4 linked regions of the Drosophila melanogaster genome follow. The protein of the gene in region 1 interacts with the protein of each later gene in a pairwise test. Each region holds a gene or a part of one and is shown in the gene's direction. Other genes may lie near its edges.

What was found.
Region 2: the proteins of mgr (region 1) and Pfdn5 interact in binary tests that used the Drosophila melanogaster proteins (3 or more experiments, as listed by UniProt).
Region 3: the proteins of mgr (region 1) and Pfdn2 interact in binary tests that used the Drosophila melanogaster proteins (3 or more experiments, as listed by UniProt).
Region 4: the proteins of mgr (region 1) and Elal interact in a two-hybrid assay, tested with the Drosophila melanogaster proteins (2 studies listed by BioGRID).

The regions. Positions count from the first base shown.
Region 1 is NT_033777.3:11,406,293-11,414,313, reverse strand, and holds mgr (merry-go-round), read left to right. Parts: upstream 1-4,438; 5' UTR 4,439-4,545; coding exon 4,546-4,632; intron 4,633-4,709; coding exon 4,710-5,104; intron 5,105-5,165; coding exon 5,166-5,268; 3' UTR 5,269-5,522; downstream 5,523-8,021. Other genes in the region: Ipo9 (importin 9), read right to left, coding at 1-223, 282-700, 755-1,399, 1,482-1,620; Irbp (inverted repeat-binding protein), read right to left, coding at 2,036-3,258, 3,504-4,176; mRpL40 (mitochondrial ribosomal protein L40), read right to left, coding at 5,610-5,928, 5,988-6,233, 6,298-6,323. UniProt on the Drosophila melanogaster protein: Binds specifically to cytosolic chaperonin (c-CPN) and transfers target proteins to it. Binds to nascent polypeptide chain and promotes folding in an environment in which there are many competing pathways for nonnative proteins.
Region 2 is NT_033777.3:22,482,334-22,490,100, forward strand, and holds Pfdn5 (prefoldin 5), read left to right. Parts: upstream 1-4,705; 5' UTR 4,706-4,960; coding exon 4,961-5,059; intron 5,060-5,176; coding exon 5,177-5,386; intron 5,387-5,447; coding exon 5,448-5,645; 3' UTR 5,646-5,748; downstream 5,749-7,767. Other genes in the region: Nrx-1 (neurexin 1), read left to right, coding at 514-1,523; CG5376 (uncharacterized protein), read right to left, coding at 5,749-5,817, 5,878-6,300, 6,352-6,549; CCT1 (chaperonin containing TCP1 subunit 1), read right to left, coding at 6,970-7,525, 7,589-7,767. UniProt on the Drosophila melanogaster protein: Binds specifically to cytosolic chaperonin (c-CPN) and transfers target proteins to it. Binds to nascent polypeptide chain and promotes folding in an environment in which there are many competing pathways for nonnative proteins.
Region 3 is NT_037436.4:11,070,034-11,077,704, reverse strand, and holds Pfdn2 (prefoldin 2), read left to right. Parts: upstream 1-3,316; 5' UTR 3,317-3,458; coding exon 3,459-3,589; intron 3,590-3,693; coding exon 3,694-3,994; 3' UTR 3,995-4,413; downstream 4,414-7,671. Other genes in the region: Noc1 (nucleolar complex protein 1), read right to left, coding at 1-242, 302-1,876, 1,936-2,050, 2,116-2,844; Mocs1 (molybdenum cofactor synthesis 1), read right to left, coding at 4,548-5,143, 5,295-6,146, 6,576-6,654, 6,720-6,890. UniProt on the Drosophila melanogaster protein: Binds specifically to cytosolic chaperonin (c-CPN) and transfers target proteins to it. Binds to nascent polypeptide chain and promotes folding in an environment in which there are many competing pathways for nonnative proteins.
Region 4 is NT_033777.3:24,862,065-24,871,064, forward strand, and holds Elal (Elastin-like), read left to right. Parts: upstream 1-3,285; 5' UTR 3,286-3,305; coding exon 3,306-3,780; intron 3,781-3,947; coding exon 3,948-4,462; 3' UTR 4,463-5,587; downstream 5,588-9,000. Other genes in the region: CG13640 (uncharacterized protein), read right to left, coding at 1-67; CG7016 (uncharacterized protein), read left to right, coding at 917-2,005; Srg1 (Sting-regulated gene 1), read right to left, coding at 2,214-2,642; CycB3 (cyclin B3), read right to left, coding at 6,737-8,464.

The DNA.
Region 1 (8,021 bases):
CAAGCAAATTCCGAACTATGGTCAAGTAGTTGAGGAGGTCAAACGTAGAGTCGCCGGCGAGGATGACGTCGCGGAAAGCATGCACGGCATCCATGCAGGCCTCCTGGATCTTCCACCAGTTGGGATTGTTGGCCGCTTTTTCTGCATCAGCCACACTAAAGTGCCTGCCCAATGCCTCCTGCAATGGCTGAATTGCGTTGGCTCCGAATTCGTCGTTAATAGCCTACAAAAATATATTATGCCAGTGATGAAGCTCTTCAGAAAAGTCTTTTCTCGCTCACCAGGAGAACATCACGGCCGCACATGCGCACCGTGAGCTCCACACCGCCATCATCCTCATCATCCACGAACTTCTCCGGATCATCATGCCAGTCCTCCAACTGCTCCTCGCTCAGCTGAATGTAAACAATGGTTATGTATATGAGGTCGGCCAGCACATTTTTGATGCTGCCACGTAGTTTGTTGCATGTCAGTATGCAGTTGATGAACTCAAGGATCTGGATGATCAGTGATTGGAAATTGGTCTGCTCGTCATCCTCCTCGCTGTCGCCGCTGGCCAGCGGACTTGTCTCAGTCTGATTCACCGACACCTTCACGTAAGTCTCGGCTATTTGTGTGAGTAGCTGCCAGACAATGGGCAGAACACGGTCCATAAAGGGGTTGATGTACTTTGGCATCTCATTGACCAAATGGGTAAACACTAAAGTGAGATCAAGTTTAGTTTACTTTCCAGCAAAGACGAAATGAAACCCACCCTTGATAATTTCCGTGCGAAGCAGGAAACTGGAAACGGCGCCGCTATTCATGCTCAGGTAATGCATAAGCTTGTCCATAAAGTTTGTCAAAATGGAGCTCATCATGGTGCTCTGCTCTTCTTTGTTGGTGATCAGTGCAGCAATGGATGCAAAAAGTGGCTTCAAGATGCGAATGGCCGAAACTCTTGTTTTGATCGAGTAATTTTGCTCGGAGTCGAAGATGCGATAGACTTCGGGTATGACTACTGGACCCAGTTCCTTGATTTGCTCCACGTCGTAGCTGAAATCCTGCAGCACCTGCATGGCACCGTGTATGGAATCCTCATTGCCGCCCAGGCATTTGACAATGATGTCGAACAGCTCCGCCCAACAATGTGGGTAATCCGTGGCGGCTATGGTGGAGATGGTATGCGCGACTGAGGAGCGTATCTTTGAATTGGGATCATACAGTCCGTTTGGCAGAATGTTTCGTATGGTTCGCTTGGCCTGCTCGCTGGCCATACAACCGTTGGCTTTCCTTTTAACATCATCGTCATCCGTCCAGTGGTTCTCCACGTAACGAGTGAGCATCACGATCGCGATTTGACGGAGTGGCAGCTCGTGCGCCTGGTTCATAATGATCTCGGACAGGTAGACGCCATAGCCTGCAAATGAATGAGATGGTTAAAATAGGGCTACATGTGAACCGCGCCCAAGCCACGCCAATCCAGCTGCCCGCCAAATCACCTTCCGTGTACTCCAGCTGCTTGATCCTCTTTTCTGTCTGCTGCAGGACTCCTGTGTCCGAGCTAAGTAGGTTCTGCAGCTCCTCGATGATGGCTTGCTTAACGGAGTCCCCGCAGTCGTTTTGGAATTGCAGCGACATTCTTCGGCCGTGGTTCGAAATAAATTAATTCGTAATGCCCAAATTCGCACAAAAGAAGCCGGCGCGGCGCTATCACATGTAGTCAACGGGCGTTTTGCAAGACTGCTTCGTGCGAAACTAGTGATGACAAACTTACGATTGGATAGTAATCGATTTTTAAAAAGGATTCTTGACTACTATGTTAAGCCTGCTCAGTACAATTTTTACGTTTTTTTCTTTTCTGTTATTGTGTAATGGAATATACATTTTTTTTAAAACAACATTTTAATAATTTATTTTACAAGTAATTATGTGTTGGTATGTATTTAATTAACAATTCGGACAACAAAACATTATTTTCTAATCCTAAGTTTACCAATGGTTAATACAAGCTAGATTGGTACAGATTTATCACTCAAAGTATGGAATATTTTAATTACTTATGTAGTTCCTCGATTTTGGCGACCAGTTTTGCCTTCTTTGACGACTTGGGCATTGTAACATCGAAGTGATGCTGCAGAATAAAATGCAACTGGGCGGCCGTGCAACTCGTCAGAGCCTCATCCTTGTTCAGGCTCTTTACGAATTCGAATTCCTTGAGTTGATCATCATCGATCTTGGCCATTTTGGGACCGCTCGCTCCCGCTGTGGTGGACTTGGCTGCTCGCTTCTTATGGGGTTCTGCTTCCGGAGCGAACATTTCATAGTCCGGCAGCAGCTTTTCTATGCGCTTGTCCTGTTGCGAAGTGTCCAGCAGATTATCGAGTCCTTTAGTATCTGTCGAAAAGTCCAGGGAGAGGGCCAGAAGATTCGCCTGCAGGGCGTCCAGACTTGGATCGTTGATGAGATTCGGCTGATAGTCAACGCGCAGCTTCTTGATGATCTTTTGGAAAAACTCGACTTTCTGTTCGTCAGCAGTGTTTTCCGTATTGTTCCAGTCCTGCAAGTCTAGGTGGCGGATGTGCTTGGCCTCCGGCAAGTAGACAATCTTGAATCCGTCACCGCAGAGCAGAGAGCGATAGTTCTTATCTTCCCCATTATCTGGGGCCTCTACTGGCACAAGTGCCACATAGCGAGGTATCGACTTGCGCTTGCACATGAACAGGCAAATGGCAATCTTGTCGCGCACCAAGCATCGTTCCCACAATGCGCGGAACAAGCGCTTCGATCCGATGATGCTCTGATCATCGGGGTACATGAAATTCGCTGGCTTGATGTAGCTAACTTCGGGAAGAGAGGATCGATGCTTGAAGCCCAGCAGCATCATTTGCGGCTTGTGCAGATTGCGCACCCTGTTCAACTGATCCATGCTGATGCGCAGATCCCTTTCGCCCACGTTGCAAGTGTACCAACCGCCCGTCACCTTAATCTGATACTCGTGCTCGATATCCTGCGAGCCATCGTCCTTTTGTTTTTGCACCGTAATCACTCGCTTAGTACGCACCACACTGTTGTCCCTGCGCAGGATTTGCACTTTGCGCGGATAGGCGCGTCGCTGAAAGTAATTGTAGTACTGTACGGACATGGATAGGTTGGGGCCCAGATAAAAACTGAAGTGGCCCAGGCATCGGCGAAGGAAATCCTGCTTCAACTTACGATCGGACAGGATTTCGCGCAGCATCTGGGCATCTGGCACCTGGAAGGCGTCCAGTTCGATAGCTGCAAAAAAGGTCCTCATTAAACATCATCTAGTGTACGGATTGCTATATATTTATTTTATTATTCTTGTAAGCCAATCCAAAACCACGAACCAATTGAGCTTCACTTGGATGCGGGTGAATGATTGCTTATATTTGATCTACGAAGTCTTAAAACCTTTCAGGCGAAAATTGAACGCCAAACAGGGGAACAGACTTCGCACATTAAAACCCATAAGAAATGAATAGCAGACTTAAAGGACTTACCTCTTGACAACGTGATGAACTCCTTGTAAAACGGCTCGTAGTCAAAGTCATCGACCATGGGAATGACATGAAACTCGAACTCCTTGCCCTCCAGATCGCTGGCCTTTTGCAGGGCAGCCTGGAAGTGATTGCTGTTCGATGGATGAGGTTCCCTGACGTCCGTGACATAGGCGATCTTGGCGTTGTTTAGCTTCTTGCCGCACTTTTCCAGCATCTCGATGCAGAGCCGGATCATAAGGTCAAACCTGCCGCGACCATCGGGTTCCGCCAGGCCATACACATCGGCGAACTGCGTCTCCACCCCGCCCATGAATTCCAGATAGTGCTCCACAATGGGTTTGGTTAGTTGGCGAAGGGGCAAGAACACTGCGCAGTTATCCGGCATTACGATGTTGTCCAATGCACTGGCTTCCAGCGGCGGCGGACTGTGCTTGGTGTTGGCGAAGATGAGTCCGATGAGGTCCTTGTCGTTAACCAGAAGTCCGGATATAAAGGCCGTCCGGATGATGTTCAGTGCCTCCAACAGGCGCTCCACGCCGGCTGTCTGAAGATTGGCGTCTACCACGAACAGAATGGCCTCGCGCCCATGGTAGTCCCGCTTCATGGACACATCCTCCTCGTCCTCGGACCCAGACAGCAGGTCCACATCGTTCTCCGGATTCCAGGTGCTCATTATGCGGCTTCTTTAGATTGCTAAAAATCTGACTTTCCGCTAATTTCACAAGAAGGCGGGCGCGCTTATCGTCGCTGTTGTTATCGATTGAGCTAGGGATGAGAGTCACGAAGAGAATTGATATATATTTAAATTTATTTAGACATTATTTAATGTTTTTAACATATTATATTATCCCAACGTTTATTTATATAATTATTTTAATATAAGTTAGTTTTACATTTTTATACGAAGTTGACCACCACCTTTCGATGACAGCCATTCAATCGATTGTTCCATCGCAATTTTGACTCATCGACTTTTACAGCGGCAGGCTGACCTCCTGAAAATTAAATTGCATTTGTAGACGGCACGGCTGAAGGCAACAGGATGACAGGAATAATGGACTCGGTGGAAATGCCCAAATTACCGGAAAACCAGAAGACCTTCGCCGGCATCCCGGAGGCAGTGTTCCTGGTGAGTGGTCCTAACCTACAAGCGTGCACCTGCAGCTGGACACTGCAGGCTAATTCGTGGTTCTTGGGCCCTTGCAGGAGGAGATCGACACCTTCATGTCGCAGCCGGAGAACGAAAATTGCGAAAAGGTGCTGCAGCGACTGGACGAGCAGCACGGCAAGTATCGATTCATGGCCTGCAATCTGGAGGCGCGGCGGCGCAAGTTGAAGTCTCAAATTCCGGACCTGGAGCGCTCCCTGGAAATGGTCAATGTGCTTCGCAAGGAGGACGAGGAGCGCGAGACGCAATTCCTGCTCAGCGACCAGGTGTTCATCAAGACACTGGTGCCGCCCACGAAAACAGTATACCTCTGGCTGGGGGCCAGCGTGATGCTGGAGTATCCGCTAGACGAGGCGGAGGCTCTGCTGAACCAGAACATCACATCGGCCGTGGGCAACCTAAAGTCCGTGGAGCACGATCAGGATTTTCTGAGGTCAGTTCGAGTGCTGTTATTCAAGTTACTTGTTTTATTGTATTATAAATGTATATTTTAGGGATCAAATCACAACTACGGAGGTGAACATGGCGCGGGTCTACAACTGGGGCGTGAAAAAGCGGCAGGCCGCTACCAAGACCACCGCCACTACCCCATCCTAAGGAGACCCACCCAAATCCCATCCCAAGATCAACATCGGTAGCAGCCACTCGCATCTTATTTATTTCGACAGTACACCGCAAGGGCTCGGCAGGCGATTCCACCTGGCTTATTCTTGTTCTCCACTGATAGCAATAAAACCGCCACACAAACGCATCAAGCTGACTCCAAACGAGATGCCTATTCCGGAGGAATGTAATATTTTAATTTGGCTACGGGCATTTAACTGCATGTAAACCGAATAAACGGCGAACGCAATTCATTGAGAGTAAAGCCGAATTCACAAATCATAGGATTAGGGTTCAGTTTATTTCAAATCTTTAACATCCGGAACTTACACGCCTCATTTGACCTCCCACTTCATGGATTGGTGCAGGTAGTCGCCATCGGGACTGACGTAATCCTTAATGGGGGGCGTGGCAACGGGTCCTTTGACGGCGACGGGCAGCAGCTGGGGATCGATATCGATGGCCGCCTGGTAGAGCTCCTCGGACTCGCGCCGAAGTTCCGCCAGCGCCTTGTTTTGCGCCTGGACCAGCCGGTCGATGATCTGAAAGTCTGCTACGCGCTCGTCGTGCTTGTAGTGCGCCCACTGCTTCTTGAGGAGAGCACGTTCCTCCAACTGGTCGATGGTCAGTGGAGCTAGCTTCCGCTGCCGTTTGCTGAACGATAGGATAGCATTACATCTCAGCATATGAGGGAAACCCGTATGAGAACCTACTCCTTTTCGTCGATGAGCTCCAGTGGAACCTCCAGTTCATCCACGGGCTTCAGCTGACGGGCATTCTTCTCCAGCCGGCGAATCTGCTTTTCGATCTTCTTCTTCTTGCGATCCTCGCGCTGCTTGACAATCTGCGGATCCAGTTTCTTCTTTTTCTTCAGGGGCTCCGCACAAAGAACTGGTGTCGTGTGGAGGCAACGTGCAAAGGCGGCACCGGCGACGCCGCCACTTCTCTGCAGACTCAATCTGAGACAGAAGGCAGGTGGGGAGTGAGTGATTGTGTGACCAGGGACCAGGTGCATTCACTTACCTGGCAAAGGCGCCCAGCAGCGACATTTTTAATAAACAAATGTGGAAAAAACCTTTGCGTAATGTACGAACAGCTGTTTTTGTTGCTGTTCAATGTCCTAGCGATGGACCTATCTCGATTGACCAGTCTAATTGGAAAATCGATAAGTCCAATGTAAAATGTAGAAAACAGGACGGCAAATATGGAAATACTGAAAAAATACCGCCGAATATCTGAGTACGTTATTTTCAAAATATCCATACAAATTACGCATACGACATGTTGCACAACGAAATCTTTCTCAGATTTTCTACTTTTCAACATTTTAGGCCTGCTATTCATATTCCCATATTGTTTCAGTACTTACCACTCACTTTGCCAAGATAAAACAATGCATTTACTATTTTTATACGATTTTAAAACTTTATTTTTAAAGATGAAAATAAACAATATAGTTTTATTGTGTGTTTTTTTGTATTTTTTTCTTAGTAAATTTTACATAATTTTTCAATAAAATAAGTTTTGTTTTTTTTCGATTAAAAATGTCATATTGTAGTTTAGTGTTTTCCTCTTGTTTTACAATTTCCATTCCATTACACATTTTTAGTACGATGTCTATCGATTTTGTCGCTTGCATAAATATAAATTTGTATGTTATTATATTCGCTTATATCCGAAATACTGAATTTACCTCATACATATTTTCATTCATTTTTGTGTGGTGATGGTGTCGTGTGGTGTGGTGTCGATTGCTTTTGCTTTGCGCTAAATGCATTCTCTAAATGTAAATCCAAATTTCGATTTTCCGTTTTTCGGGACTTTTAATCATTTAATTGCAATTTTTCGTTTGCGCTAAATGTACAATTTTGATCGATTTATCCGATTTAGCGGGAACAAAACTGGTCCAAAAGTCTAAGTTTATTTTCAATTTGTTGGCCTGAAATGCGTTTCCGAAGTTTCCAAAAGTGTAAACCAAACCAAAGTTTATAAAACGGAACCGAAATCGAAACCGAAACCAAAACGTGGCTTATACATATATCGCTATGGTTCATTCGAAATGAGTTAGTTAATCATATAAAGTTAGTATATCGTACTATCGTAAGTGTATACGCGACATAGTCGATTGTGAAATTTTCTCGTTTCCCAACTTTGTATGTTTCCACCGCGTATTACATTCATATATGTTTGCTTTGCTTGATTTTATTTTTCCATTACTTTTGGTTTTCTTTTCATTACTTTGCTTTCTTTTCGTATTGTGGTAAATAGTAATGTGTGAGTTTTTTTGTGGGGCAAGGGGATACAGGGGATTGGGTGTTGGTAAATCGGGAAATTGGAAAATTGGGATACGTTTCCTATTGTTAGTACATATTCTTATAAATTTAAACTGTGTGTGTGAAGTGACTTGATTCAATCGTTTTACTTGGCCTTCAGCTTCTGCGGAAGAGAAGGTCCTGCGGTAGTATGTCAAGTTGGAATTTCGAAAATGTCAACGTCTTGTGCTGGCCTTCAATTTCGCTTACTTCGCACTAATCAAATTTGAAATCAATGTGTGTTTAAATCTCAACTTAGTATAAATTAGGGTAAATCGTATATGCGTACGCGGGGTTTTTTTTCCCATTTATTACTCATATAGCTCCGGATTTTCGAGGATTACTAGAGTTTGGCATTTATCCCCGCATTTTTGCATTTTCCGGAGCTCTTCTTCCACCACTTAGCTTACAATTACATTATAAAAGTTATCTCTA
Region 2 (7,767 bases), about 11 Mb from region 1:
CTCCTCCTCCTCCACATTTATTCCCTCGATTGCATAACTCTACCGTTCTTCCAATTCCAATTTGTACATATCGTGCGAATAGATCGAAGGTCCAGCACCCAAAACAACAATGACACACCTCAACATATCTCTCAATATCTACAAATCTCTAATCCTCTCTAACTGTGTTGAATAAACTATTGAAAGCAAAGCACAACTGGCGGTTCAAGTGATTTTTGGGAGGGAAAGATGACTCAATTAAAGGTTTCCGAAGTAAGCACTTTGAATCAGGATTCCGTTTATTATGATTAGTTTCTAAAATTCTATAATAAATTCTTACATATTGGAAGAGAAATTGTGAACCCATGGAGAAAATTTAAAATATCATTTATTCCTTGGGGAATAATGGGGTTTTAAGAAATATCGAGGGTAGCAATGCAACCACTAAGCGCACAAACACACTCGCAACAAACATACAAGTATAGAGCACCCCACTTGAGAACACTTGAATAAACCCAAACCGACTGCTTGCAGAGTCCAACAACGAGATGGTGACCATTACCACCACGGGACGCAGCGATGTGACCACGGAGCAGCACCAAGGCAGCAGTAGCAGCAGTAGCAGCGGCAGCACTCCGTCCTACGCAACCACGCAGTCGAGCAGCAGCAGCAGCAGCGGCGGATCGGCAGCCAGCACGCCGGGTCAGGTGAGCACGACCAGCAGCGTGGCCACATCGTCCACGCAACGGGCGACTAGCAGCAGCACCAGCACGAGCAGCAGTACAACTTCGACGACCACGACAACGACCACCACTCAAGCCACACCGCCACCGGAGATCCGGAGTACGGTCACCGAGCGGGAAACCACGCCCTATGATATTTATATAGCTGGTGGCGGCATGGGTGGGTCCGGGCGAAATGATCACGATCGCATGCAGCTGCCGGACGAGCACCACCCACTGCCACCGTTGCCGCCACCCATTCCGCCGCAAGATCCACCTCCGTACGGACCTTATGGCGGCAACACGTACAACACCAACATGAACAACTACCGTCCAAAGGGTAAGGGCGGCAGAATTAACTCGATCGAGGAGGAGCGTACCGCCATGATAATCGGCATAGTGGCGGGCATACTGATCGCAGTGGTGCTGGTCATCCTGCTGGTCCTGTGGCTCAAGTCGAATGGCGATCGTGGCTACAAGACGGAGAGCGAGAAGGCGGCCGCCTACGGTTCCCACAATCCGAATGCTGCACTCCTGGGAAATACTAGCACCAATGGATCGTACCACCAGCAGCGGCAGCACCATATGCATGGTGGCGGAGGCGGTGGAGGTGCAGGGCAACAGCAGCATCATGCCCAACAGCAGATGCACAATGGGCACAATGGTAATGGAAATGGAGGAGGCGGCGGCGGTGGCGGCATGATGTCCAGCGGAAGTGGGTCACTTGGCTATGGCAGCGATGGGCGACCCCAGATGGCGGGCCTGGTGCAGCCGAAGGCCAAGAAACGCGACTCCAAGGACGTCAAGGAGTGGTATGTGTAAGGCGGCATGGTCGCAGGGAAATATCGTCAAATTAGCAATTAATAGTGCAAAGTGAGCCGAAAGTGAAAGTGAAAGTAAAAGTCCCCCTAAGATACGAGAAACAAAAAAAAAAAAAAACACACACATAAGCGTATATAAATATATTTATTTAGCAGCCTCGTAACGTTAATTAAACAATTAGAAGCGGACGCAGTCGGACATTGGGTGTACAAACGGAAACGGAAGTGGACGGAAGGATAATAATATGTAGATGGCGCCTTGCGCAGCTCGGTAGGTGGGCATCACGCGATTCACGATGGCTGATAACGTTAGCAGCAAGCAGATAGAGCAGATAGCCGGTAGCAGATAACCGATAGCAGATAGCAGATAGACACGCAAATACTTTAGACAAGTGCATCTGGCCAGGAGCATTGGTTCACAGCAAAGGTAACGTTTAGATTACGCCTAAGAAATTATAGCTTCAACTCAAGACTTGCTAATAGATACCACTACCACTGGAGAGCAGCCACAACCATCAGCGAATAAGCAAATTACACTAAACGTATAAAACTATATATATTATATATATCACAGCGTTACGATAAATTATGCCACTAGCCAATCAAGTAATTGTGTAAAATATTTCGCCACAAAGTATGCTATGAAAAGATCGAAGGAAGACGGCCCAAAACCGAAAGCAAAACTAATTAAACTGCAAATCTTCTAGCGAAACCACTAAACAATTTAGCAGAAATTCAATATAAACGTACTTAAATATATATATTTATATGTAAACGTAAAGTAATGAGGTTCTGAGTGGGTTTTTTCTTCGCGTGTAAAGTTACAAAATGTGGTGCTGTAAACGTAGGAGACAAACTTTGGTTGACTACAATAATAGTAATAATAATAATAATGATGACGGGGAATGCAAGAATTTATGCTACAGATTGTTTGTTGAATTGAAACCGGCTTTAATTAGTTAAAATGTAAATGAGATAGTGGTAAACCTAAAGGATAACGAAACGAAATCAAACACGATAATACGGAGGAAACAGTAGAAACCCACGATTTGGTTGACATATACGTGATGCGACTTTTTCGTTTGCGTGCAGCAACTCGATGCTACTTTGAGTTAGTCCCTTCCACTCCCGAGCCCCACACATATACTTTTTATATGTATTTGAGACTAAATATTGTCACCGATCTGCGTGCAATATGAACTCAGACATATCAAGGAAAAGACAAGACACACACACTAGCACACTTACACACGAAACACTCTAACACACACGCAAAATTCGAAGACACTGAAGCGAACCTACCTAGCTTTTCTACAACAACTGCTATTCAATGTGAGCGAACATTACTTTACCGTCGACTAATGAGGAAATCAAGCAACAATTTTACAGTATTATAGCAGCTTTAAGCGTATTTTTCGAAGCCCACGTGACGTATACACAATCAGCAGTCACCAGCACACTCACAGCTTACACCCACATACTATTACACAAGCACACATACATAGACGCGAAATTCGATATTCAGCAAGCCGCCATTAAATTCTGTATACATATTAATAATCGCATATATCATTTTGATGCGCTATATTAAAATTTTTGTCTCACTATCAATACCAATTAGTGTATCATTTTGGATTAGATATACAAAATACCTATATACACTCGATATACTACTACTAATACACGCACACTCACCTCACTCACACAATCACCAACTCACGCATTCGATCACTAGCGAAATTACTGGACATACTTCTCTCGAATTCTTAATGGAAACCAAGGCAAGGTATGCTGTAAATACCTAGGAAAGTACTATATATACATGAATATATATATATATATTTAACAACTAAAAAACATATATATACTGCATTTCAAGAAACTTTTGATATATTTTCGAGTTTTTTAAACCCTTATCTTGTATACAAAAAGGAAGCGAAAGCGAAAACACGAGACAAACTAGCGAATCTAGCTGAAATGAACACCTAGGACAATTACAATTACAAGTACATAGCGAAACACAGTACATACAGTACATACAGTACAGTACAGTACATAAACACAACTATATATACAGGACATACACGCATACATTCAAACTATACTATTTATAAATGTACATCTATACAAAATATACATACATGCATACCATATAACGTACGAGTATGTTTAACGATCAATGATTATTATTACGAATTACGTCCCTTCGATTTGATAATGAAACCAAACGAAAAGAAACCACAAATTTTAACGCTGTTGATAACCAAAACCATTCCCACTTATAAATGTAACACTCTCTCCCGACAACTTTCTCTCTATCTCTTCACAATGTTAATGCTGCACAATGAAAACTCTGCATTTAAAGTAAACCACTAACGTTTATTCGTTTCGATTCAAGAGAAAACCAAATTATATATAACTAATTATACAAATTTGCCTTGCGATTTAACAGCGAGCACACGATATTGAATCCAAAATCCAGATGGGGAGCTTAAAATATCCGCGATTAAGAAATCGAATCGACACGCCCTCAAAAGCAAGATCTTCTTCATTGTTTCAAAACGAATTACATTTTATTAAGATCAAAACCAAATCAAGGTAAATGTTATGTATGTATGATATAGTGGGAGGATCGCGAAGGACGAGTACAGTTAGTTGTATGGGTAAAATAACATAGTTAAAGCATATAACTTAATAGTTCAAGGATCGGAGGAGCAGCGATTGCGAGTGGGAGCGCATATAGAGGGGAACGATCGCAAGTATCGGAACTAAAACTTACTTCTACTTAGGCTTAAAATCATTGTTATCTAATCTATACATATATAAAAACCGACATACAACACCCCACATATAACAGAGAATATGTATATGAACATGTATTGGATGCGCGGCGCTTGAGCTGTGCCTACTTATATATATATAAATATATATATATTTAACAAATTGTAACGTGTATATGTAGCGGCAGTGATTGTTAAAGAAATTGCTTTGTTTTGTGTTAGATTTTATAATTTACGAGAAAACCAAAAACAAAAATTGTAAAACGCATACAAATACAGAATGACTGACAAAACACAGAATTATAACATTGCATATAATAAATACAATAAAACTATAATTGAAAAACAAGTTTGGTTAATGCTTTTTTGCTGAGTAAGATCTGTCTTTAAACTCAAAAGATATTGTAGATTCAGAAGTCACTGATTTTTTTTTTAAATTTTTACTTCGCGCTTAGTACTCGATAACAAATCGTCGGCGGGACTGGACTACCGACTATTTCAACGAATCATTCGATTCCCGATTGCTTCCGTGAAATCGATATTTTCTGACCCAGCTTCATGACATCCCTGTTGAGTTGAATACGCAAAGGTGGCAACCTTATACGGCGACTGAATAAAATAAAAGTGGAATTGTAAATTATAAGTGTAAGCACTAGCAATGGCTGCCACCCCAAGCGCACCCGCCAAGTCCGAGATGATCGACCTGACCAAGTTGAGTCCGGAACAGCTGATTCAGATCAAGCAGGAGTTCGAGCAGGTGCGTTCCGCATGTGGGTGTGTGATGAGTCAAGTGTGCTCGCGGAGGGGGTTTCTGGAGGAGGGGCGCCCCAATTGGCACATGCTTCTAAAATCGGTACATTTTTGTGATCCTTAGGAGATTACCAACGTACAGGACTCGCTGTCGACGCTTCACGGCTGTCAAGCCAAGTACGCCGGATCCAAGGAGGCGCTGGGAACCTTTCAACCCAATTGGGAGAACCGTCAGATCCTGGTGCCCCTGACCAGCAGTATGTATGTGCCAGGACGGGTCAAGGATCTCAACAGGTTCGTCATAGACATCGGCACCGGCTACTACATTGAAAAGGTGATTTACATTTCCAATCGAACCTAGAATATTTATTGATTGCCATCTGTTTCTCAAACAGGATCTGGAAGGCTCCAAAGACTACTTCAAGCGACGCGTGGAGTACGTGCAGGAGCAGATCGAGAAAATCGAAAAGATCCACCTGCAAAAGACGCGCTTCTATAACTCAGTGATGAGTGTGCTGGAGATGAAGCAGGCTGCTGCAGCGAAATTGCAGTCGCAGCAGCAATCGCAGCCGGCGGTTACCCAGAGCTCCTAGACTACGGAGAACGACAGAGACACGAGACACGGAAAGCATTAAATTATTAAACTTATTAACGAGATGTGTGCATTTAATTAACGTAGTTTATTAAATTGTTCAGCTATTTCTTGGCTTCTGCCAAAGCCTTGGTGAGAACCTTGACCTTCTGCTCGTACGCGGACTTAAGATCCTGTAGGGAAAGAAGGTAATAGTATATCAAGTATATCATTGGACTCGAGTTATAAGGCACCTTGAATATCTGTGACTGGGTGTCGTACTCCGAACGCAGCTTGTCATACACTCCTTTGGAGATGGCTAGTTTCTTCTCCGTGAGCACACACTTGTCTTGCTCCGCCTTGATCCACTGCTGGCTCTTCTCCAGACGAGCCTGCGTGTGATCACATTCGGCGGTCTTTAGCTGCAACATGTCCTTGGTCACCTGCAGCACATCCTTAATCGAGTCTACTTGTGTCCTAAGCACTGATATCTGCTGCTCCTGCTGTTTGTTCACCTTGGTCTTCTCGAACAGCAGGGTTTTGGCCTTTAGAAGCAGCTCCTCCTGCTCTTGTCGTGATTTGGGAGCATCTGTGCCGCCCAGCATGACGGACTGCTTGAGCGACTGCTCCAACTGGACCACTCTCCGCTTTAAACGCTCATTTTCCGCCTTGGCTTCCTGCAATCAGGGTCAGTAAGTGGGTGCAGCCCGTGGAGACGAGTAACTAACCTCAAAGTCTTTGCGGAGCGCTCCGATCCGTTTGCGAGACTCCTCTAGTAGTGCCTGTTTTTCGCTTTCCAACGTGAAAACCATGTCCAGCAGTTCGTTCTGCGGCTGCTCCGGCTGACGCACTTCCTCCTGCCCATTTGCTGTTATATTGTTGTTTAGGTCACCGCCAACAGCTTCATCTTCGTTATGATCGGCCATTTTATGAAGAATTCTTTTTAAATGATAAAAATTCGTAGAGCAATGTGCGTTTTCCGTGCTTTTTGGGATGTGTTTTCTTTTTGTATTAATAGACCAAATAGATGCACGCTCTATTTATAGGACATCCCACTCTCCGGATCGCTCTCTGCCTGCTCTTGGCCAGATCGCTCTCCCGAAATAACAAACTGTTTCCCTCCAATTTAGTTTACGCCTCAGCATATTCTGAAGATCAGTTTATTATACATTGAAGCATGGATGAGAAAGGATTGCGGATGTGCGGTGTTAATACAGATCGCGAAGGGCAACACAATTAAATTGTTGTTACAATCAATGGGGCGACAATTGAAAGTGAGTGATTTGATTAAAATTAAATGCCTAAACAAGATAGAAGAAATGTGCTTCGCTCGCGGTGAAGAATGTCTAACCGTCCAGCTCGCCGGCAGCGCATGCATCGGCGTAACTCTTGCCGCTCTTGTCCTCCGGATTCAGCTTGATCATGTCGTCAATACGCAAAATGGTAATGGCGGCCTCCGTGGCGAACTTCAGCGACTTGATCTTGGACATGGCGGGCTCCAAAACTCCAGCCTTCTTGTTGTCCCTTACCACTCCCTCGATCAGATCCAGACCGGTCCACTTAAGATCCGAACGCTCGGGCTTCGTCTGGCTGGAGTTGTGGTAGGAGCGGAGCTTGGCCACTAGATCAGTGGCATCCTTGGCCGCGTTCACGGACAGAGTCTTGGGAATGACCAGCAGCGACTTTGCGAATTCGGCAATGGCCAGCTGTTCGCGGGAAGCCAGCGAGGTGGCAAAGTTCTCCAGGTAGATCGACAAAGCAGCCTCCACACAGCCGCCGCCGGCTACAACCTTCTTGCTCTCCAGCACACGCTTCACCACGCACAGAGCGTCGTGGACGGAGCGCTCCATCTCATCACAGTAGAAGTCATTGGGACCACGCAAGATAATGGATGCGGCAGCACTAAAAAGGCATAGGGATACGATAAAGCAAACTATGTTACTGCATGATATAATCTGCACTTACCGTGCCTTAGTGCCCTTGATGAGGATAAGTTCATCATCGCAGATGCGCTCCTGGGCCACCTCTGCGGCCTCTCCCACCATTGAGGCATCGAAGCTCTCCTCACCGTCCATGTTGGTCAGCGAGGTAATAAAGGCGGCGCCGGTAGCCTTAGCAATGATCTTCAGATCGCTCTTCTTCAC
Region 3 (7,671 bases), on another chromosome or scaffold:
TCTACGTTTATGCTCCAAGAAGTTGAAGATGAACATCTCGTCCTCGGTACAGTTGGCCTTGGTCAGCGATTTCACTGGTCTTCCTCGCGCTCCGTGAGCCATGTATCGCTTGTGTGCCACGGTAGCATTTTCCGCTGCTTGTGAAGCTTCCAGCTTTTTCGGATTCTTAAAGGCGAAACGTTCCAAAAAGTGGGGCAATCCGAAATCTCTGAGCGGATCACCATAGTAATCAATGCGTGATTCTAAAAAAATCGAAAGGGTTTATAAAAGGCTATGAATAGAAACCTAATGGAATACTCACGCTGAAGAATCTGTTCGGCGAAGACCTGAACGGTGGGATGGTAGTGTTGCCGCAGCAACAACAGTTCATGGCGGAGTGCATATGCAGCTCCTGCAAAAGCGGGCACTCGATGGTACGGATCGTACTTGCAGGAATCAATATCCCGCACCTTGGCCTCTGTGGCAGCCACACGGGCATGATGCCAGGATGATGCACTTGACTTAACATCATTGTCTGCCTTCTCCTCCAATGGATTGGAGTCCTTAGTATCATCCGCCTCATCTTTAACATCCTCGTAGACCTCCTCATCGTCGCTACCGAACTTGTCCAGATCCGCACTGATTGGTAGAACAACTTTGGAACCTTCCTCCACTTCCTCAGAAGCTCCAGTGCCGCCAATTAGCTCACGGCGCATGCGCAGCAACTTGTGGATGACGATTAAACAACCAGCTGCAATGTGCGGTGGAGCGTATAGGGTCAACTGCAGCAGACGCTTCACGAATGCCTGGGCCCTGGCCACATGGTTGTCGATGTGGATGGCACGATGTACAATATGCAGTAGATGAGCCGCCGTTTTGCTACCCACATTAATTAGGTTCAGATCCAGCAGCTTTACATATAAAGCATTATAAAACCGATCCGATTTCTCAGTTTTTACTGCAACCAATTGCAGCAGCAGGCCGAGAGTCTGTACAGCGACCCTAATGTCAGCCAAGTGGACCAATCGGTAGATGGTGTCCTGCATTTCCTTGGTGAGTAATTCCCCATTGCTATCCTTTGCCGGCTTAGCCTCCACGATAGCTTTTTGCAAGCATCGAAGGATGGCCTGCATGGTCCTATTATTTACGGCTCCCTTCTGCACGAGAACCTTGAAGAGGGCAAAGCATATATTGACCAACTTGGTGCAGACTTCGGGCCGGCCAGAGGGTGCGATGCTGGAGAGGAAGCACAGTGCAAAGTGCTGCGCTCGCTCGGAAATATTGTTACGGAAAAGTAGCTTCTCCGCTTCGGCAACAATAACACCGCACATGTTCGGATGTTTCTGGGCCACCTCGCTGAGGTGATGCAACGCCTTGGAGGCAATCTTGGCGATGGGATCGCCCAGTTTGTTTACCAGCATGGTTAGCAGCAGCTGCTCCTTTTCGGGAGCATAGGCCAACAGCCTGGCTGCTGACACAATAGAGGAGTTCTTATTGTGTTCCTGTCCAGTCTGCAGGCCCTGCATAACGTTCTTCAAGAACTCGTGGTACTGATCCTTTAATTCGCTCTCAAAATGCCAGTACGCGTAAATGCGGCGCTTCTGTTCGTTGCGCAAATTCTCATCCTTTTTCAGCTTTTTCCAATCAGCACCACGTGTGTGCACCGCCAGGAGTTTTCTGTTTGGCGGGAGCAGCACCTCCTGCCACAAATCCGTGAGCACTGCAATCACATCATTGCTGGCCTTGTTGGAGATCTTGCAGAAGCCAATTAAAGTGCTCAATGCTTCCAAATTGCCCAGTGGATTGCTCGTCACCAGAAGGGCGCCCGCATTGGCCCGATCCTTTGCAGTACCCTTGTGCAGAGCGGTTTGCAACCAGCGAGCATCCGAGGGATTACCTAAAGATGAGATAAAAACATTAGTAGGGGTTCCAATTTCCGAGTCGAGAAAGTCTTACGTTTATTAAAAGTTATCTTCTCCGCTTCGAAGGAATTCTTGCAGAGATTGTACAGCTCCAGCTGATCGTTCTCCTTCATGTCCAGCACCTCATCGGTGGACGGATAGTCGGGATGCTAAGATACGATAGTGATAACTATAAATGATTTATTTCCACGATTTCAGTTTAGTTTCAACATACCACATGATACCACTTCTTTTGGGACTCCTCGTCTTCATCTATTTTTGACTGATATTTGTTGTGCTTTTTGGAAATGGAGTCCCCCAGTTCCTCATCACTGTCTCCATCGCTGTCGGATACATTTTTTCCAGCTCCATCCTCATCAAACTTGATTCGTTGGGGCTTTTTAAAGTTCTCCTTGGACTCTCCGTCATCTCCAAACTTGATTTTTTGGGACTTCTTGGTCGGTTCCGTCTTTGTGTTGGAAGAATTCGCAGTTACTTCATCTTCTCCATCATCAGTGAACTTGATTTTCTGAGGTTTATTGGCGAAGTCCGACTTTTGACCATTATGTTTATGGTTGTTTTTGTTGAAAGGTTTTTGATGCACTGCTTCTCTATCCTCTCCAAATTTGATTTTCTGTGGTTTTGGTCCATTTTTATGATTTTGGTTGAACGACTTGGAAGCTACTTGTTCTCCATCATCGCCGAACTTTATTCTCTGTGGTTTGTTGGCAAAATCCGGCTTTTGGTGGTTCTTATTAAAGGACTTAGCACCTTTCGCTTTTCCATCCTCTCCAAACTTAATTTTCTGCGGCTTTTTCACCTGTTCCTTCCCTTCAAATTTTGGCCTTTGTGGGTGCTCCTTTTTGTTTTGTTTAACTACCGCCTCGCCGGAGTCGTCGAACACGATTTTCTTGTTTTTGGGCGGTCCACCGAATTGCACACCTGTGGCCACTGCTGCCGGCATGATTTTATATTTTCTAAAGCTATATATTAGATAAAAATCATTAAATAAAATAAACGGCGTTAGAAACAACTCGCACGTGTATTCAAATATGACATTCACCGCGAAACGTAAGCAACATATGTATGTCGTCTACTTAGTGACGAATTTCATTGTCTTTATGATATTAAAATTTTGTATTTAAAATCTTAAATAAGAGAGTATCCAACTTAGTTTTAAAATTTATAAATTATTCAGTAATTACCATTGAAATGACCGTGACTTTTGATAGCAGGTGGGTTTGAAGTTATATAAAGCTTGAAGTTATTATAATCTGATTATAAGTAAGAATAAAATTGAAATTCTTATATAGAATTACTATTAATTTATAAATTATTACATTAACTTATGTTTAAGTAACTGAAGTTGTGCTATATTTTCTTTTACCGTTACACCATTTTTCCACAATACATTTACGGTCTTACTGCCTTGACGCGCTTGGGATTTGTTAGGACGTTTATCGCATAGTCCTCGTGTTCGGTCTCGTATTTTGAAAGAAAATCGCAGATTATCGCCAATTTGAAGCGATTATCCCGGTCTAGATTTCGAAGGGGTCCTTTTGGATAGCGAACATTGCAATGAGCACCGAATCGGCGAAGCCGGCACTCAGCCAGGAGGCCATTGTGGCCCAGTTCCAACAGCTGCGCAATGAGCAGCGCAATTTGGTCAACAGTTTAAATACGCTCGAAATGGATTTGAGGGAACACAAGTGAGTCACCGGGGGCCCAAAGATGGATGACACGTCTGTTTGTGATTTTGGGCAAGTGGGAGAATCCCTGCAGACACAATGACATAACTCCTTATCCTCCCTAGAACTGTGATAGAAACTCTGGAGGCGGCGGATCCCGAACGGAAATGCTTTCGTCAAATTGGTGGTGTGCTGTGCGAAAGGACCGTGAAGGAGGTGCTGCCACAGCTGGTGGAGAACAAGGATTTCATCGCCAAGACCATCCAAATGGTCACCAATGACCTGAGCAAAAAGGGCAGTGAGCTGAACAAGTTCAAGGAGGAGCACAATATCAAGATTCGCGGCGAACACTTGGTTGCCGAAGGAGCCAAGGGCGACGATGCGGAGGACAAGGCGGAGAACCGTAATGTCCTGGTGTTCAACTGAGAGCGATTGATTACCTCACCACACCGTATTTATTGTGTCTATGTTGAGAGGGAACTCTGCCAGGATTTGCGAGCGATAATCCGCGTTTATTGAACACTTCTAATGTTGTATGTACTTCTAGCTGTAAGGCGCAGTTCGCGAAACGCCTCCAATCGCACCTTCACACCAACACTATCCATCAATTCCCCTCATTTAAACTTAACCCACTCTGGCCACGAATTAAAGATACCTTAAACTTCCGATTGAAATTAGTCATGTGTCTTGTGATTCATTCAAGATCTGAAAATGGATGGACCTCTATCCACCGACTGGAAACAAAAACTATATAAACTATATGATTATTTATCCCTTTTATGCCATTTGTTCTGAAACATTTTATTGGTATGTTAGTCAAATTAGTTTCCTATAAGGAAGTGATTTCATCTACATTTTTACACTTATGTATTCTTGCTTCATAAGTCTTTTAATTTAATATTTGTGGCTAAATCAAGTAAGCAGTAGTTTATTTTCCATTCCCCGTATCGTGGTTAATCCGGTTAGTCGGGTATTCGACTTATTCGACTTCTGTAACTATCCCATTTTGCGGCTCCTCCCTCTGGAAGTCCCTTTTTCCGCCGGATTTGCTTAGCAGGCGGACATTTGTGATGCAGATATCGTGAGAAACAGCCTTGCACATGTCGTACACAGTTAAAGCGGCCACTGAAACTGCAGTTAGTGCCTCCATCTCGACTCCAGTTTGGCCCGAGCAGCGAACGGTTGCCTCCAGCCGCACAGATTGTTCGGTTTTCAGAAGAGTGGCCTGCACTTTCACGGAGGACAAGCTGATGTTGTGACACAGGGGTATCAGTTCGGCGGTTCGCTTAGCGCCCATTATGCCAGCAATTTGGGCTACGGTTAGAACATCTCCCTTGGCCACTTGATTGTCGGCTATAAGTTGGGTAAGTTTCTCACCCACCTGAACGGTGGCCTCTGCACGAGCTAATCTTGTGGTCGAAGGTTTTGCGCCCACATCCACCATTTGGGCCTTGCCCTGGCCATCGACATGGGTGAGTTGGCTGTAATTTCGGGCCTGAAGCTGCAGCCTTGAAGTATGATATGCGTGGTGATACGAATAAGGATGAAGATGATGATGGAGTCTTGGCGCAGCATCTGCAACGGGAGAGGGGAGAGAGTGTGGTGTGTCTACTAGCCGCCAATGAGTATCATGGGCCGGTTCTCCATCTGCGACAGGTTCAGCATGCCTGCGAAGGAGTACCAAGTTCTGAAGACTTTCTACGTTTCATTCGGAATCGAAACTCACCTGCATGCTGTTTCTTCTTACGCTGGACGGCTGCTCCAATGAGATCCACCAACTGTTCCTCGCTAACACTCTCATCTCGCATGGCATCTCTCAACGAGAACTCTTTGTTGCCAAACAAGCACACCTTTATGTTTCCATCCGCAGTGAGTCGCAATCTATTGCAGGTACCACAAAAGTGTTCCGTCATGGAGGTGATGAAACCGACCTGACCCTTAAATCCCGGAACTGCATAGGCTTTAGAAGTGTCATTAGGTCCATTGGGAAGGGCCTTGAAGTCTGGCCACCTTTGTCGAATGATTTGCAGGGTATCTTTATACGAAATGAGCCTCTCTGTATGCCACTTGTTTCCGGAGAATGGCATGTACTCTATGAACCGCACATCTACCGGACGATTCCTGGTGAACTCAACAAAATCACAGATTTCATCCTCGTTGAAATCCCGCATAAGGACGCAGTTCACCTTGGGGCGATAGCCCAATTGGACAGCTAAATCAATGCCGGCTATCACCCGCTCCCATCCTTTTCGCCTGGTGATCTTCTCAAAGCGATCCCTTTTCAGCGTATCCAGACTGATGTTCAGGTTATCTAGTCCAGCTCTCTGGAGCGGCAACAGCAGGCGTGTCAGCACCAGGCCATTGGTGGTAATTCCGATTTGCTCCAGTTCGGGTAGTGCTTTCATTTGTGCCACTATCTCTACGATATCCCTGCGCACAGTTGGCTCTCCGCCGGTCAAGCGGATCTTTCGCACTCCCTGCTCCACGAAAATTCGAGCTAGACGAAGGATTTCCTCGGTGGTCAGGAGTTTGTTTTTCGGCTGTAGCGGAACGCCTTCAGCGGGCATGCAGTAGTCGCCTGAAAATATGACCACATTATAGTTATAATAGAATTTTCCAATTGGAATTTAATAAAAGTTAACTGAAGAGTATCATGGAAGTTTCTCGAATTCAAGTTAAGAACATTAAATTATCTAATATCAATGGGGGGTTTGCTATCTATCAGTAATCGAAATCAGAAACGTTGTTAATGTCGCCAAAATTATCTGATTATAATAGCAGCTACAAATGAAATTAGACCATCTGCTCTAATTTGTCAACAATTGGCTGATATGGTTGGACTCCATAACTATTATGTTGACCGCAGTTGTGCGTGTGTAAGACACGAATTTCGCCACATTATTCAATCAAGGCTGGGATCCACTTCACTGCGAGTATTATCAAATAGGTAAAACAATAACAGGGCAAACTGATAAGGGTCGAAAACATAGGTGGTTGGTTTACTTACATCGCAGATTGCAGCGTTCGGTTAGAGAAATTCTCAAATAGGTGTGATGCCGGCCAAAGGAGTCCGTGAGTGGCGAATTCTGGTTAAATTTTCGATTAGCGAAATCGATACGGAAACTTTGTGCCCACCAAATGGAGTACTCACCTTTCTCAGCACCTGTTTCTCCGGCTCCAATGGCTGAACACTTGCCGTGGCCAGATTGAGGTAACCGGTTGTGGCCTTCAGCCGGATTGCTCCTCTCGAAAGTGAAGCCACCTCGCCCGCGCTATTCTCCTGACCCAGCAATCGAATCGCGTGTCTGGCCAATAGCCGCATGTTTTTTTGTTATTTGTATTTTGATTGATGTTCTCTCAGCTAAAACGAATACAATTGGCTTACGTAAGCCGGCAATTTGCGGGGGGTGGCACGAGTTGTTGGGGGATCTGTTGTCGCTGGAGCGATTTCGGACAGTCAGACTGTGATAAGCAATTACATATGCTGACGGCGGTCCTATGTCCTACGAATTGATATCGCCGATTACGCGCTCTCCGTTTCCAACTGCAGCCGGCGAGCGTTGTTTATAAACTAAATTGAGAGTGACGATCATATGGACGAGCTGCCAGCGCAGCTTTCGCCAAAGCTTTTGTTCTAGTGCCAGTGTTAGGCAGCATTTGAAATTTTTTGCCGGTTGATTGATTGTATGGGGGGGGGGGAGCCACCAGGGGGTTGACGCTTCAGAGCTTTGACCTGCAAAAAACCTAGCAGAAATGAAGATGCAGTGACAGCAGTTTACTTATAAGTGAATGGAGTTTAATTTCATTTATTTTAGTACAGTATACAATAAATGATTAATATTTGCTATACAGATGTAATGCCTTGCAAAGAGTTACAAGTGTTATAAACATTCAAGCATCTAAATTTTGACATTCTTAGTTTGCTTTTTAAAATTTTTTTTTTTAAATTTTACCCAAACTTAAACATAAGAAATGATCAAATACGAGATATAAAGACCATATAAATACAGGCCCTTCTTATAATTTTTAAGTTTAAGGCTATACCAGTTCATTATAAACTGTTATTCAAAGGAAAGTCTTAACCCCATAGTGTACAAAACAAA
Region 4 (9,000 bases), about 13 Mb from region 1:
CACTCGAATCCAGGCAGCACGCAATCAGCAATGTTAGGATAGTCAATCGGGAATCGCGGGATCTCATCTTGCTTCGATTTCGAATCACTTCCAGTTCTGACAGTTCATCTACGCAGTTCCCTCTATTTATACCCTTGTGGATTGGAGTTGGGCACATTGTGATGGTGACACATTGTGGTCTAGCTCATTTCAATTCTTTTTTTTTACGACTTCTTATTCCCATAAACACAGTCGGAATCTCTGGAAGATTAGCGTGGCCAATGGGCAAGCGACTTAATGCATTATGCTGGATTTATTATAGCACGCGGATTGGCACGATCAGCATGCGGAGCACGCTTCATCCGCTGGAAGACTGAGCTATCGCAGATGGTAGATGGTCAGTATACAACGGACATCTCATACCCCAACCATTATATAAACTTCCATATAAATACACACTGCTGAGATCGTATGAGTGTACTTCAAATAAGAATTTGAATTAATTAAAATATAACACTAACATACAGAGATCTGTAAAGACTGGACGGATACTACTAGTAAGTCCCTTCCATTTATTCCTCTATTATGGATTTTTCATCACTTGAAGTATCTCTTTCATCGCCTGTATCTCTTATTCTTTTATACTTCAATCTGTATACTACATACTATATATGTATCTCAATTTTTGTTTTCAAGCTTCAGGTGTTTGTTTACTTTTCGTCTGATTATTATTATGATCATCTCTCTGAGACCTATTTTGGAGAGCGGTTAAGATCTCTCTGGTTGCGGACACTGATTTTCATCATGCTCTCACTGATCGCCGGACAGGTTTTCAATGTTTAATCAAGCATCAACGATTATCGCATAGGCGGAGCGTAAAAGTTCCCCCTCAGTTAGAGTCCGCCTTTTGTGGTGATCACTGCTCGAACACCCGAACATGACGCGATCTTCGCCAGCTTGGTGTGCTGGCCAGGCCTGGCTCGTCTGGCTTTTGGCATCCATCTGGATACGCACGTGTCTCGCGCAATTTGCAGTCTCCTCGTCCTCCGCCGGCGGAGCTGTTGCCTCCGCCGGTGGCGTCACTGTGGTGGCCCAGCTGCCCGGTTTCGGAGTTATCAATGGACTGATCAATGCCATGCACAACAACAACCGCTTCAACCAGCAGCCGCAGTTCGAGAGACTGCAGCAAGGAAGGCCGGGGATGGGTCCGAATCGAGGAGGAATGCACAGACCAGGATTTGCACCACCCAACCGTCAGCAACCGACGCCTCCTGGCTGGCCACCCGGCTGGCAGTGGGGAGCCGGTGGAAATCAGAATCAACCCGGATTTGACTGGGTTCAAACAGGATTTGCACCAGGCTGGAATGGAGGTGGAGGGCAAGGACCAGGATGGAATGGTCCAGGATGGAACGGAGGCGGTGGAAGAGGACCTCCACCAAGACCAGGTTTTAACGGCGGCGGACCACCGCCGCCAAGACCAGGATGGAACGGCGGCGGGCCACCACCACCGATGCCAGGCTGGAATGGAGGAGGGCCACCGCCACCAAGGCCAGGATGGAATGGCGGAGGACCTCCGCCACCAAGGCCAGGCTGGAATGGAGGGATGGAACAGGAATGGGATAACTATCCACGCCTCCCCGATCAGCCGGATCCCAATGATCCAAACACGAATTGGAATCCAGATAATGAGTCTAGCACCACTCCACAAACGCCAATACCAGGACCCATCTTTCCAACGACAACACCTAAGCCAGAGCCCACCTTTCCCACGATCCAGCCACGTCCAACCGCTCAGCCAACGAAGGATACGCTCATAATAGGAACCAATCGACCGCCGTTGGTGCCGCCCCATAATCCGGATCCACCCACGCCCACTTTTCCCACTTGGATCGTGCCGGAGCCATTGCCAAAACCATTGGACGAACTCTCCGAAAATCGTGCTATTATATTCCCCAGCTCTAGCAAATATATCCATGTGCCAAACCCGGAGGTTCCCTCAATTCCCATTGATGTGAGACGAAGATGAATCTTCTAAGAGGGAGTTCCCCGATTCACACTTGTTGTATATATATTCGTAGACCATTGTTCAATTGCTCCACCCGAGATCGTCTTTGTCATAAGTTCAAAACAGGTTCTAAAAGCTCGTTGGAAATAAACGAAATTTTAATAAATTACACATAAACAAATGAGACAGCACATGATTGGATGAGACTGGGGTATCTGACGGATGAACGTTAGTAACCCCGCTGCTTGTAACCACCTCCACCTCCGTAAAGATCCTGATTCTTGTGCGGATAATGGACACTGGCAGGATGAGACGGCTGAGAGTAGTATCCAGGCGAAGGACGCACTGACCAAGGTGGTGGATAGTAGTCATTTGCTGCCGGAACCGGTCGTGGTGGGTAATAGGCATAGCCACCTGGATGCGTCTGCTGGTGGCTACCACCGTAGCCGTAGCCTCCACCATAGTGATAGTCGTAGCCCTGCTCGTAGCCCTCCTGGATGAGTGGACCTGGTCCAGGATGTAGCTGTGGATCAACTGGCCTTGCTGGCGGATAATGATTTGGGTCGCCGAACAGAAGCTCCGCAATCTTATCGAAAGTGGGTCTACCGTGGGCCAAGCTGGCCAGGATTAGCACTAGAATCGCAGCCAACAACTGCATCTTGGGATATGTAGAGCAATTTTGCTGATAGTCCCAATGTCCATGCGGCTTTTATAGCCAGCAGCAGCACATGGCGATAAGAAAGATGAATGGAATCGAGTGGAAGAACCTTGGGTAATGGAACAAATGCTATATGTACATATGTACTTATAATACTAATCTATTGACTGGTAAACAAGGTTGACTGGGAAAGCTTTCGTTCTCTATATAAAGGGAGGATCATAACTCATGATCATCATCTATGCAAAGATGAGTTATGAATTGCTTGGGAAATCCCTAAACCAAAAATGCGTCTCAACTTATCTATTACTTGGCTTTAGGCCGCAAATTTATACATTGCAAGAAATTTATATATAACATTTATATTTATAAATTTGTATATGGGTATTTCTTTAAAAAATTCATTTATTTGTTCAAATTTATGGCTAGTATCTATGCATATGCACATTGTTGTGTTATATTTTCAACTTTTGCTTTCAGTGTAGACTCTCTCATTCAATTTACTAGAAAGAACACTCAATGAGACTTAAACTACATATCTGGGCATTGAGCCCCTGATGATAACCCCAAAAATAGACACTCAGCTAAGCTCTCGTGTCATCAGATCTCACCATGAAATACACGCGCCGTGAGCTTCTGGGCTTTAGTGTACCCAAAGACGCCATGTTAAGCAGGAGGGTCATCGCATTCGCCGCTCTGGCCCTCATCCAGATAGCCAGCGGTCAGGCCTCGCAATTCAGCAGGGACGAAAGTCAGGAGGATCAGAAGACGGAGTTTAACCTGGCCTCCACTCTGACGGGAGGCATTACCAGCAGTCGCCATCGCCAGCGGGCCAATCTCAATTCGCAACTTTATCCTGGCCTTGGTCAGCTGGGATCGGGTTATGCGGGCGCAACTGGATCCATCGACGATGCCCATGGCCATGAGCAGGGTGGCTCTGGCGTACGAGTGGCCAGTACGAACTCCGTTGTTTTTCCTGGCAACCAGTCACCAAATCCGGCACTCACAATTACAGGAGGTCACCAGATTCCCGCTTATCCGCCTCCGGGTTTTCCTGGACAACAGGCTCCAGTTCCGTACCCAGCTGCAGGAGGCTCTTCAGGAGGATCCTCATCATCCGGTGGTTACCAAAGTGCAGGTAGGTCCTTCTAATAGGTGGTTCATTTATCTTAGTGAAATCAGAAAACTAATATCAAGTCTTAACTCCCAAAAAAGTTATACAAAATTTAAAAGATTGGTGAATAGCAAATCCACATTTTGAAATATATATGAAATTATGATATTAATGAAATGTCCCCTTTTTAGGTGCTGTTTCTCCTCCTGGCTATCCTGTTGCTGGAGCAGTTCCTGCTCAGTATCCGGTGGGAGTTCCTCCCCAGCAGCCAGTGGGTGCAGGAGCACCTGGTTACTTCCCGGGAACTGGTGCCTATCCTGGCTATCCCTACCCCGGAGTATACTTGCCACAGTACCCAGCGTACCCTCAACCAGCCCAGTTCCCCGCCTATGGAGTGCTACCCGGAGCTGTGGCTCAACCAGGAGTTCCTGGAGTAGCTGGAGTTCCGGGAGCACCTGGAGTGGCAGGAGTGCCCGGAGCAGCTGGTCAGGCTCCTGCCACCAGCGGCATGAACTATCATCGCTATCCGGCTCACAATCCCGCTGATCCGAGCCATTGGGACCATCATTTCTCGATGAACACCGAGTACAAGGAGGATGGCGTCCACAAGGGACCATTTGGAGTGCTGAACAATCACAATGCCTTTGGCTATGGCAGTGGATATGGGGGCGGATACAACGGTGCCTTCAACTCGCCGGCCTACTGAAGCTGGCCGACATCATGGGTGGACCTCGGTGGTGGTGGTAGTGGTAATGGTGTTGGTGGGGCGTGAAGTAATCCGAGTCGTAGTCATAACTTCGCTGCTGCCTCCTTGGCCAGAGGCAGCTGTCTTTGCCTATCATCCTGTGTGTCCCTGCGAAATAAACTTGATTTCTGCACACCCAACCAAGATAATTAGCAATGCTGGCCAGTTACCAGTTGCACCTTGAACCGGAAAAAATAAAGCACATGCACTCGGCATTCTGCTCCCATACAGACAGCTAACCCAAGACATTCACATCCCATCCTTATTCTTTTCCTTATTCTTATGGCAATGCCGCTTCTTTTATCCGGCGTGGACACAATCGAAGACGACAGGAGCTACCTGGCTGGCAGGCAGCCGAAAAAAAGGGAACGCACAAAGGCAGGACTCTGGGCGAGCCAAAGGTGGTGGTAGAAAATCAGCGTCAGAGAGAGACGCTGTTACTGGTATTGGTACTCCTGGTGCCCTTCGCTGGACCCAACTGCAGCGACATAAATCGGCTGGGTTTCGCTGTGCAGCGGAAAAGAGAGGGCCGAAGGAAAGGAAAGGAACCCAACCAAGGGACGACGTCTTGATGTCTTGCGGCGCATGCGCAGCCTGCCGCGCAAATCCTTAACAAATTTTTGGCGCTAAAATGACGGACGAGCGCGCCAAAAGCAAGGAACCGCAGGAAACTCGAGAGAATCATGCCCGGGGTATACAGACTACGAGTATACAGACAGACACTTACACTCATGGATTATGAATGATTTGGACGGACGGTATCGGTGGTTTTTACCTGTAGCAAATCGAACCGATTCCAGCCAGGGTTTGATGTCCTTAGGTCATCAGCCATCAGCTGTTCTATGATGAGCGCGGAGAAAGGAGCACAGATTCAGCTGAGAGGATTCGAAACAAAGGAATTAGAATGGGTGGGGTAATGGGTATACTCACGGCAAAGAAGTCTAGATGTGCTAAACGTTTTCCCTTAACCTTTGACATCTAGGAGTTTATGCTCTGTTTCTAACAATTAAAGATTGAACTGCAACAAATACATACATTCCAGATTCTAGGAAATTGAAAATAATGCCCTAAATTATTTAATCCCCTAGGAACTAGGATCATTTCCAACATGCTGGATAAAGACAGCTAATTTAAAATACTTATTTAAAGTAAACATAAACACTAATGATACTACAATTGCATTCAACTAGTTATATCTGAGTTAATACTCACCCGATTTTGAAACTTCCATCAGGTTTTTAAAAGAGTTTTCTAGAAAGAAAAATAAAAATACGAATTTATTGCACTTACCCTATTAAAAGTAAGAATTTTTTCACTTCGCCCACCGTTTTCCGAATGTAATGATGGTAAAAAGATTGAAGTATTTTTGAACGGACGTAAAAATGTTTATTGGTATTCTCTCGCAAAACGATACATACATAACACTGAGTACATACATAACTAGTTACTTCAACAATGCAACGTTATCAACCATCCATGGATAAACGAGGTGAACTGAGGCAGGGCGGGGCGGGGCGGTATGATCAGGAACTGGGAAGTTGATGGTGAGCGTCCTTCGAGGGGCGGGAATGTGAGCGCAAGGAGGGGAGTCCATGAACGACTTAACAAATAACAGCATTAATAACGACGACAGGAACAGATGCACATGGCGTACATGGCGTGCACGGGACGAGGGTTGATCGCAGCGCATTTCCAGGTTGTACGGGACACACGTGCCTTTCATAGTCGCTTCGTATCCTTGCGTTTGTGTATCTGTGTAGAATAAGTTAGTGGGGATCCGTGTCTGCTTTGGTGGCTTACGAGTTAGGTTTATTTAATGCTGGCATCTCTTAAGACTAACGTACATATTAAAACATGAATCGTTTTGGGATTTTTTGGGTGGGGGTGCTAAAGATAATGTCGCCTTTCGAGTTTAGATTGATTGTGTTCGGCTACGTATGCGGTATGTGGGAAAATTAAACAATAATACATGGCAAAAAGAAACAAAAGCACTCTTAACATAATATTTATGCAAAAAACATGTCAATAATGCGAAGGTCACAATAATAATTAAAATATAATAAATTGCGAGGACTTGACGGGAACACTAGGTAAGGGGTAAAATCAGGGGTTTTTAGATTAAGGCGGGGATCCGCTGTTTCGTCGGGATGGGGCTAATATTGGGAATAGAAGCGTCTTAGAGCCTAAGTGAAGCGTATCGTATCATGTTGAATTTGGCTAAACTTTGAGGCTGTCCTACGACAGATTGCTTTCGTTCAGGTCAAGGTTGCCCTGGAAGAGCTCCTGGTTCGTCAGCAGCGGCACCTTGGCCACCTCGTGGAATATTTTGTGCGAGTACTTGTTCCGTATCGTCTTGATGGTGGCCCGTGGCTTGCGATGCAGTCCTGCATTGAGCGCGGTCACAATTTCAGCAAAGTCCGCCAATTGATAGCCGGTGTAGTAGATAAGCGTCGATGTCCACGTCTGCTTGTCCAGCTGCCCCGGACCGCCGTGCATACGCAGTGCCATGAACAGTGCGGCCGAAGCCATCTGCGAGTCACTGAACGAAATATTGGCGTAATCCATGAGCGACAATTCCAGGATGTATCGAGCCAGGGTCAGCGTGGGCATAGGCACCTTGGCGCATCGGGCATAGCGGCGCAGGAAACGGTACGAGAGCGGGATGCCCAGATCGTACTTGATAACGCGCAGCGTCTCCCGCTCCATTCGCACCAGCTCGTCGTGATTATAAGCACCATCGCAGATATACAAAAAATCCTCTATAAGCGGCGGCTGTCGCTCATCGTACTTGCAGGCAATAAAGAAGGCAGCGGCGCCCAGAAGTTGCAGCTTCTCTTTGTTGATCACCTCGCGGCAGAGATACAGATCGACGATCTTAACCGCTAGGTACAGAGTCTCGTGGTTCAGCTCGAACGTTTCCTGCACCTCCACCATCCAGTCGACCAACAGGGTGCGCATCCAGGTGGTCAGATGGATCTGCCTGGGCATATAGTCGGCAATGGGGAATTCCGCTTCGCGCACTTTGAGGTAGTTGAATATATCCATGGCGTAGTGGGACACCTGGAAGGGATCGTCCCAGTTCTTGCGGTCGAAGTCCTCTACTTCCTCGGGCACTGGCGGAATGGGCACCACCTGGCTTGGAGCAGTCTCTGGGAGTGTCAGCAACAGCGGCTGTGGCTGCTGCTCAGTCTTTTGCTGCAACTTGGCGGAGCGACGTCGCGCCGCCTCAAAGTTTCCAGACAGCCGCATGGAGTCGCAACTGGAGACATCCTCCAGCGCGGACATGTACAGGCTGTCCTCAGTCTTGTTGAAGTCATTGGAGATCCGACGAACTGGCTTGACGGCGGCAACCTGGGGAGCAGCCAGATTGTGCGTGGGCGGCAGTAAAACGGGAATCTGCATAGGATTTGGCATGGCCGGTAGCTGAACCTCCCCCAAAACGGTCTTTTTTGCGGCAGGCACTGCCTTGGGGCGCGGTTTGGGCCTGGCCAACGCCTCTTCCAGCTTATCGAGCACTTTGTGGCAGTTCTCCACCGAATCCTCCACTTTACTGGAGGCGCGCGTAGTCATCTTACTGGCGCCAAAGACATTTACGCTGAGATTCTCCTGTTTCTTAGCATCCATCAGGGCCTGCAGCTGCTGGGCCGTTGGCTTTTTGCCCACGCCCGACTGCTCCTCATCCTGTGCCGGATGCAGTGTCATGATCTTAACATTGTTGGTCAGGTTACCCAGCGCCGAGCGCTTGATTTTGTCATTTTTAATTGGACTGTGGTCGGCCTTGCGTTTGGCGCGCGTCTGCATATTCTCCACATTCGGATCGATGTTTCCCGTGGCAGCCGCCCTCCGAGTCAGTCCCTTCCTAGTGGCAGCTCCCAGGGCTCCCAGGATGGGATTCACTGCCTGCTGCAGCTGATGATGCCCGCTTGTGATGGCCGCGCGCGTTGTTGCTTTTGTGGGCGCCATTTTGAATGCGTGTTTGCGTGTGAGCGCACTCGTCGTTTGTTGTTTGTGTTCTTGTGCGCGGCGCCTGGAGTCCTCGTCTCCTCCACTTCCACTTGGTTTCAGCAAGATCCTCGCTAGCGGATTCCTTGCAGAATGTGGTCTTTGTGTTGGCTAGAACTTGAGTCGTTCGCTACTGCCGATATTGTCGACTCGATCAAGCCTAGACATTCACACAAACTCACAATATAATTCCGGATCGAGTTTTGTGGAGTTATGGCGCTTGGCCGGAGGGATAGAGAGCACTGAGTAAAAAATCAAAAAAACACCGCCAGATGCCAGATGCAGATGCGGCCTGCAGTGTGACCGTACCGCGGCGTTCGGTCGCCTAACGGAAATCGACTGGAATACACCTCTGTGGTGAAGGTAGGCATTGGGGGTAGTCTTCCAGAGCGCGGCTAATTTAAATGTCTGAAGTTCAAAACATGTGAATTGAACTATTTGGGCAGTTTGCTTAAATATGCAATTGCAAATTTATGGAACTAAGAAACTCATCAAAG